Daphnia pulex: one gene and its partner. The protein of the gene in region 2 binds, or shares a complex with, the protein of the main gene of each other region. Links are inferred from orthologs where the notes say so. Each region holds a gene or a part of one and is shown on either strand. Other genes may lie near its edges.

Region 1 (4,300 bases), on a different chromosome or scaffold from region 2:
ATTTCGAAACAGCTACCAAAATAAGAGGTGTTTTGTGTAGAAAAACAAATTTGGTATCACCAGCCAAAATCATATCCATGGAGTCTTCCCCATCTTCCACAAATGAAACAAGTGCCTGCATCACTCCAAATAAGGTAACAAGCTGCTCCTCATTTCCATGTCTGTAATTTAAAAAGGAAAACAATTAATTATAAAAAATGACAAATAGCTAATTCAAACCCAACCTTGTGTAGATGGGTTTTCCTGCTTCACTCAAGACAAAGAAATGTTTCTTTTGATTTTTCCACAGCAAGGAGTCTGATCCACTCTCTTCATCACCAGCAGCAGCTGGCAGGGAATTTTCTTCCAAGATTGATGAAGCCTGATTCATTAATGCTTTTTAACAAATCTTGAGGGGAGATTATTACTCAGTAAATCTCACATTGGTTGTACGTGATATGGAATCCTCATTTTGATTGCTGAAAGACTCTCGTTCTAAGTAGACCCTGGGCCGTACAAATTGTTGGTCTTGGTTATTGGAGACAAGATCTGATTCAAAAATCAAATCAGGTTGAGCTTCAACGGCAATTTCTAATAATCCGACATCACCGTTCTGAAAACCATCAGTACAACCGGGGTCTGCAGGAGGTTGTATGTTTAAGCTCACATCATTGGAATCACTATTTGTTCTGGTACCGCTTAAATTATTTAGACTTTCATATGGATCACTGCTGTCAAGAATTCCATGACTGGAGCTAGTAGCTGCATCAAAATTGTTAACCGAATTCGAAACAATAATTTCGCAATCTACTACTTCTGAAGCCATGTTTACTATCAAAATTATGCTTCTTACATCACCTGGCGGCGTGTTTTGAAGGGGCGTGTACAGAGGGCGGCGTTTAATGTCAGATGTCACAATAAAATGGGTTGAAGTTCCGATAATTGAAAAACGTCACAAATGCAGAGAAAATTAATTTTACAAAGGTAATGGTGTGCTTTTTATATACTGATATCGAAAAGACAACAATTAATTAATCGAGTTCGTTGAATGACCACCAGATGGCTCTACAAGTCAATCAAAACATTATAATACGGACCGGATGCAGTAAATCGTGGATTTAGAAGATGCGGTAAAATGATAAAGAAAAAGAAGGGAAATGTCTAAAACAACGATTTCGAAATTCGTCGGGGCTCAATCCGAATTAAGGTAAATTTTAAAAAATGCGAGAACCAAATGTTAATTTTTTTACAAGGAATTTTATCAATTTTAGCACATAGTATTTTTGCGTTTCTCTTAGCTTTTTTCCCGCATTTTAGTCCCTTTCACTTTTTTCACAAAATTATCTCCTTATTTGGGCTGATCTCTGAACGGGCGCGGTTTGTGTTGGTGTTAGCACCCGATTTCGTCCACAGGTCTCTACAATCTGTTGAAGTTCTTATAGTTATTGAGTTTATTTTATCGTTGTGTTCATTTCAAATGCCGCCTGGGTAAGCTATTGATAAGATAAATACTATTACTGATATTAATAAGCTCTTGAAGTGGCCACACATGAGATAACACATTTAGTTATCAATTGCCGTTCTTCACCCCATAAATTGCTGGACATTTCGGTTGTGTTCACTGAAGAAACTCCATTTTTCACCATGGCAAAAAGACCTAACATTCTTGTTCTTAAACCCTTTGAAAATAGTAACCTTTACCTTAGAAGAATGGAGGATAAGATGAAACCAAGTGCAAGTGCAAGTGAAGTAAATGAACTTGAGGGTTTGCTTGAAGACCTTACATCTAATGATGTTCCGAAGGGAATTCAAAATCAACCACTTCCTCAGATACCTAGCTTGAATTCAGTTCAAACTTACATTTTAAAAAATACTTATGCTAACAGCCCTCCTAAACTTCCTTCTAGAAACCTTAAACCTAGTAATATTGATAGGTATTGTGGTTTAACAGTTAGTATAGTAGATTTCACACATTCTGAATTTCAAGAAACTAATAATGGTTTGAACTTTAAAGCGATATGTACAAGAACACCCAATGTGTGAGGTGTGATTATGGTTTTGAGCCTCATGAAAAGATTGTCAATACAAATGGAGAGCTGTGGCATCCCCAGTGCTTTGTGTAAGTACTCACACCAACATTTTTACTTGAAATTGAATTCTAATTTCTTAATCTTTCACAGGTGCGCTCAATGCTTTCGCTCCTTTCCAGAAGGAATTTTTTACGAGTTTGAGGGTCGCAAGTATTGTGAGCATGATTTTCAGATGCTCTTTGCTCCTTGTTGCGGTCGCTGTGGTAAGCGTTAAATCGATTGACTAATTCATAGATTTTTAAATAATAACGCATTTTTTGTATTCTTAGGTGAATTTATCATCGGTCGTGTTATTAAAGCAATGAATGCCAATTGGCATCCCAAGTGCTTCCTCTGCGAGATGTGTGACAAAGAACTAGCCGACCAGGGGTTCATTCGTCACCAGAATAAGGCACTCTGCCACGATTGTAACGCTCGAGCAAAAGCCGCCAGCTTGGGAAAACATGTCTGCCATAAGTGCCAGTAAGTGCTGTGTATAGTTGAAAATTTCATCGGAATCTAAGGATCATTATTTTTATTTAGCTCTATGATTGATGATCGTCCGCTACGTTTCCGTGGCGAAGTCTATCATCCTTATCATTTCAACTGTTCGTCTTGCGGAATCGAACTCAACGCGGACGCACGTGAAGTTAAAAGCAGACCAGGTTTCACCGCTAATGAGATGGTATTTCACATTATTTTTTAACATTTAATATCTTTGTGACAATTGTTTAAAATTTACACAGAACGAGTTGTATTGCTTGAGATGCCACGACAAAATGGGTATTCCAATTTGTGGTGCTTGCCGTCGTCCAATTGAAGAGCGTGTCGTTACGGCGTTAGGAAAGCATTTTCATGTTGAGGTATAAAACTTAATGAAATCATCACAGGGATTAAATTTACCTATTACAATGGATTGATTTGTAGCATTTCGTATGCGCCAAATGCGAGAAACCGTTCTTGGGTAATCGCCATTATGAGAAGAAGGGTCTTGCCTATTGCGAAACCCATTATCATCAGCTTTTCGGCAATCTTTGCTTCGTTTGCAATCAAGTTATTGGAGGAGATGGTAAAGCATTTTATACATGTTCTTCTTTTAAGACATTAACACCTTGATTGGCTTTTCTTTTCAGTGTTTACCGCATTGAACAAAGCCTGGTGTGTTCACCATTTCGCTTGTTCGGTTTGTGACACAAAAATGTCGCAGAAAACCAAGTTCTACGAATTCGACTTGAAACCGACTTGTAAAAAATGTTTCGATAAATTTCCGGCTGAACTTCGGAAGCGTTTGAAGAAAGCTTACGAGACTAGCCCGAGGAAAAGCTCTGCAGCGAATTAGTATGGGAAAAATAAGTAACGAATCAACATAATTGGATTCGTTTTTTTTTCCGGCTCTTGTTTACCTTTTAATATTCTTACTCCTAGTAAATTACTAAATTGATAAATATGCTGAATTTTAAAATTCTTTTTCCTTCACAAGGTGCCTTGCTTTTACTGTATCAAAGATAAGACCACAAACTTTTTAATTACAAGTTAAGCGATTAATGACTTTACGTCTGCCGATTAGAGTAAGTACAAGAATTATTCATATTTAAATTCTACAGGATTTTCGTGTTTTTTTACTTCACTTCTCGCTTATTTCTGTAAGCTACAGTCACACTTTTAAAATGTTTCCCTCATTGAAATCACTTTCAAGTTCACAAAAAACAACAAAATATCTTAACAACTGCTGACGTGTCTTCCGAATAATGATTTTTAAACATGTAATAAACTAATAATCTCACAGTAGCGTTTACAATTTTATCAATGCGTTCACAGGTCATGAATGGGAAAAATCTGTTGTTCAAGATGCTAAGACAGACATTTACCTAAATGATAAGATCCACAATCATGATAGGTCACAAAAGAGAAGGCGCTCAAAATAGTCATGTAATAACTAAATTTCGATATTGATTAAATTTTAAGTTAATGCCGCTGCCGACGCAACGGAGATAAAGTTAAATTGAAAATGACATGAAAACTCATAAGAAGATATTACTTTTGAAATATGCACTGATGATATGAGATCAGTTAACCCGGCTCTTTATAATTTATTAATTCAAGTTTGTCTTGTTAGAAAATAGAGAAATAATCAAATTCGTTGTCGAGAATTGATCTTTGGAGAATTTGGACAAAAATGTAAAAATCTCCATTCTGTTGTAGGGTGAGCTAATAGCTAATAGCCTTTGGCGATTTTGGTGACCTTTTTTTTT
Region 2 (4,406 bases):
TATTCTTGAAGGCAAACAATTGTAAATCCTTGCAGACGAACCAATAACGTTTAAAGCCTTTTAAGGTGAAACGTTTCGGCCTTTAAATCAAATTTAAAAAAATAAAATAAAATAAGTATTAAACGAATGTGGGGGAATAAAAAAATCGATTTACTTCATGTAACGAAGAAAATCCGACAATTCCGGTATGGAAGTGATGTCACTAGTGTTGCTGTGAACGTGGGTGCCTTCCAGAGTGTCCTGGAGGTCACTCAGGGCGGCGTCGATATCGTCGTCGCCGTCACGAGTGTCACTCAGCGGCTGAGGCTGGGCACTTTGTAAATTCACTTGGAGCTGAAGGGCTCCAAACATGAGCATCTCCTCTTCAGTGCAATCAATCTCCTCGTTGAGCAACTGCCATTTGGCCTGCTCGTAAATCTGATTGATGCGCACGGCGTCGTACTTTGGATTCAGGTCGTAAAATGAGTAGAATTTGTAGCGCAACAGGAGCGCGCTGTATTCCCGCACGCCTTGCTCCATGATGGACAAGGACGAGTCCAGCCAACTGATGAAAATAATGCGGGAAATAAATCAATATTGTCTGATTTTTTTATAAAAGTGGGTTAGGATAGATAAGAGAAACTCACGCCACATTAAGACGAGCCCGTTCGATCAAGTTTTTGGGTCGAAGAAGCCTGGATCGGGCCTCCTGGCTGGGTGTGGCCGGACTGAGCGCCAGCGACATATCCATATTGGAGAAACTGCTGTTGGCCGTCGTGTTGAGGCTGTTGTTGGCAGTCATGTCAAAGATGGATGGTGTCGCATTGTGGCCGTTGCTGCCCGGAGTCGAATACGGTGAATTCTTTCTCCACGTGCCCGACTGATGGATGAGAAAATAATGATGATTAGTATTATTATTATGAAGACAAAAAACGTGAAAAAATATACATGGCAACAACAACTCACATTAACTGGTGAGCTGATGGGCGTGGGTACGGGAGCCGGGGACCGATTGATGGTCGTGTTGGGCAGGACGGGCGTACATCCGGAGGTGGCCTTAATGTTGTCCAAACTGTTGTTGGAACTGTGAGTCGAATTGCCGTGGTGACCGATGAACGTGTTGGTGTCGGCCGAATTGTTGGCCACCGTCCGCTTCTTGTGCGACGTGTTGGACTCGCGTTCGCGATAATTGTAGCGCAAATCGTCAGACTCGAGCGGCTTGGCGAACGACAGCTCCTCCGGATGCCGGATGCCGAGCTCCTTGCACAGCGTCACGACGGCGTTGAACGTCTTGACGCTGAAATCCACCCGGCAATCCAAGTAGCGCAAATCTGGCAGCTGGACGCGCAGCGTTTTGTGCATGGGAGTGAAATGCAGCAGAGCATCCGCCTGGACGCCATACTGATCCAGCGTCGAACGGGTCCTGGACAGCCAACAGTTCCGAGCTGGCCACCAAAGAGCGTGATCCGACCAATCCGCCGCAATATCTAAAAATACGAAAAGAAGATAAGATGTAACAAAATGTGAATATAAAATAGACTGGTGGGGGGTCATAAATTTTGATTATTCCAAAACATCCATCACTGTGATCACGTGATGTTGGGCGTGAAATTACACACACATTCAGGTGGGTGGTGGTGGTGGTGTATATGGGGCGGAAATGAAATGGGTCATGGTGGCCAAAAAAAGGGCGTCGTCCTGAATAATTTCGTTTCTGAAATCAGAGACGTTTGTGGTTGGGTAAAATCATCCGGATGTTACGCCGAACCGCGATATGTGCACATAACACAAGCTGCTGACGGTGTTTCCAACAAACTAACTTTTTTTCAAAAATAAACATTCAAGTGATCCTTGACGTGATGAGAATACCGATCACCAGACTGTGCATTCCAATCGCCCGCCCTATTTCGCTTATAGCCTTTGCCAACGGCGGAATCAAAGAGAGAGGAGTGCAACCTTTCTAGGACTTGTCGGATTTTATTTGATTTTTTAATATATTTATATTCAGAGGGGTTTTTATTTTATTTTTCAAGAGAGATCCATTGTAAGAGAGAGTGACGCGAGGGGAGGCTATTTTTAAATGCCGCCTTTTTTCTTTCCTGTCTGCGCTAGACTGGGCCGACAGAGGGAGCACTAGTAGCTGCTAGTGGGCGACCAAGAACTCATTTCAGATGTGGACAAGATGGCTCCCCCCATAATGTCTTTTAAATGCAAGCAAACAGACGCCTGGGAAATTGGGGCGTGATGATGTCAGCCTCGCAGTTGAATCCCCAAATATGGGCAAACAAGGACAACAAATAATTGCATACCTAATTCCTCGACGAGACGCAGCATAACACCACCAATGTGCAGGTCACCTTTGACCCGGAGACATCGCTCGACCGACAAGTCAGTCACCAACACCTTCAATTCCCAGCTCCCGTCACCGACCAAATGTCCGTCGGCAATCATCTTGAATTTTTCTTCTCTCTCTCTCTCACAAGGCAGCAGCAGAGCACCTGTAGCTTAGAGCACCAAACAATAATTTCCAAGAGAGAGGCGATGCCCGTCCGTGACCAAACATGGGCAACACAAACGGGGCAACCCACACACACACACAACTCTTTTCTCCTTTCCAACACCAAACACACACACACACACTCAAATAGTTCGATGGCTTTTTCAGACAGAATGAACAGTTCCAAAATTGTTCAATCACTAGTTGACATCTTGACGCAGTCGAGGTGATCACTTATTCAGGGGGCGAATCAACCCTTGTGTGTGAATAGTGTTGGAATATAAACAGATGGCCGTAAGACCAAGTCGACGTTTCATCCAGACTCGGTATGAGAGAGTCGTGTAACTAACGCCTTGGTACCCTAAAATCCCACTTCCAGATCTAAACAATCGATTCAAACTTTTAATCGATCACGAAACGTAAAAAAAAGTGAATCAAAATAATATAATAGTTTGTTGAGAGCTTACATTCATACTTACTGCCTTGAATTCCATTCCATTATAATCTCAATATCGCACTGATGAAAGCAATCTCGATCTCCTGATAAACAAAAATAAAAAACCTTGGACTAGATCGACTAGATTAGGAGATTTTCTAACATTTTCAAGCACCGTCAGATGGCGCTGGAGTTCCTACATTTTAGTTGTAAACAAATCGAATCGACCACGACTTGCTCAACAATCGAGCTCAATCTCTCTCTGCAAGGTACGATAACAATTTTAACTCCCCTTCTACCAAAAGTTTCGTCCATGTGGCGGTCTATTCAAGCAGTTGCTCTGAGATCGGTGGCCGCTAGTTCGGTTCGACGCGTTCACCAGAAATGCACAGTAAACGCACAGGAACTCAAAGGAAGGGCAATCGTCAAAGTTTCTGGAGTGGATGCCGGTCCGTACCTTCAGGGTCTTATGACAAACGATATCAAACACTTGGACGAAGATAACAATCCCAACATGTACTGCATGTTCCTCAACCGGCAGGGAAGAATACTTTACGATGCCATCATCCACTCTTCAAAAGAATCTGGCAGCTACCTGATTGAATGTGATGCAGAGTGCTCGGAATCTCTAGCAAAACACCTCACCATGTTCAGAGTCAGAAGGAAGGTGGTTATCTCTGTAGAGGAAACACTGAAGCCTTGGGTTCTCTTTGATCAGCCCCCCGAAGATCTCAGTAATGAAGTCATTTTAGCCCGAGATCCCAGAGTCAAGGAACTGGGATGGCGAGTGTTGGTTGATTCCAACAAAAGTCTAAGTCACCTAATAAAGAATCTCTGCGTGGACAACACTGATCGATACACTGAACTCAGATATAAACTTGGTGTGGGAGAAGGCTCTCGAGATATGCCACCCGGCACATGTTTCCCACTCGAATGTAATTGCGACTACCTGCACGGCGTCAGCTTCCATAAAGGGTGCTACTTGGGACAGGAACTTACGGCCAGGACTTACCACACGGGTGTAACCAGAAAACGTTTGATGCCGGTTGTCTTCCAACAGCCTTCCGATTCCATCCAGTTAGAATCGACCATTTCTGATGAAAACGGACAACGGGTGGGAAAACTACGAGGATATCTTCACGGATCAGTTTACGGTCTCGGCCTCTTGCGGATACAACAAGCCCTCTCTTCTTCTCAATTGAAAATCGACTCGAATCTAATCGAAACCCACCGACCGGCTTGGTGGCCCATTGAAGCGCCCAAAGATCGCGCCCAACTTGAATCTAGCTCTTAAAATAAAAAGACTACCCCCACAATAGATACATTTTACATGTGTTTGGCATTTCAATTTGTTACAATACAATGTTTTTCTCTGTTCCACTTTTGATTTTTCACTTATCCTTAGATGGACAGGATTGATCCAGTGGTGAAGCAGGAACCGACTGAAGAACTTGGTGAAATCGTGAAACCCAAGGAAGAAAAGAAAGCAGAACA

The links.
Region 1: unc-112-related protein-like (region 2) and LIM and senescent cell antigen-like-containing domain protein 1 share a complex: the UniProt entries of both Caenorhabditis elegans proteins name them as parts of the integrin containing attachment complex. The link is inferred for Daphnia pulex from reciprocal best matches to the Caenorhabditis elegans genes unc-112 and unc-97.

What each region holds. Positions count from the first base shown.
Region 1 is NC_060026.1:14,674,736-14,679,035, reverse strand, and holds LIM and senescent cell antigen-like-containing domain protein 1, read left to right. Parts: upstream 1-1,482; 5' UTR 1,483-1,623; coding exon 1,624-1,913; intron 1,914-1,993; coding exon 1,994-2,098; intron 2,099-2,159; coding exon 2,160-2,272; intron 2,273-2,338; coding exon 2,339-2,531; intron 2,532-2,591; coding exon 2,592-2,733; intron 2,734-2,794; coding exon 2,795-2,911; intron 2,912-2,975; coding exon 2,976-3,117; intron 3,118-3,181; coding exon 3,182-3,387; 3' UTR 3,388-3,833; downstream 3,834-4,300. Other genes in the region: protein SAND-like, read right to left, coding at 1-161, 225-361, 422-805. UniProt on the Caenorhabditis elegans protein: Component of an integrin containing attachment complex, which is required for muscle development and maintenance. Probably function in adherens junction.
Region 2 is NC_060028.1:2,206,067-2,210,472, forward strand, and holds the start of unc-112-related protein-like, read right to left. Parts: upstream 2,855-4,406; 5' UTR 2,431-2,854; coding exon 2,289-2,430; intron 1,467-2,288; coding exon 946-1,466; intron 860-945; coding exon 627-859; intron 545-626; coding exon 155-544; intron 81-154; coding exon 1-80. Other genes in the region: putative transferase CAF17 homolog, mitochondrial, read left to right, coding at 3,094-4,206; cysteine-rich DPF motif domain-containing protein 1-like, read left to right, coding at 4,318-4,406. UniProt on the Caenorhabditis elegans protein: Component of an integrin containing attachment complex, which is required for muscle development and maintenance. Probable regulator of cell-extracellular matrix adhesion. Required during initial muscle assembly to form dense bodies and M-lines.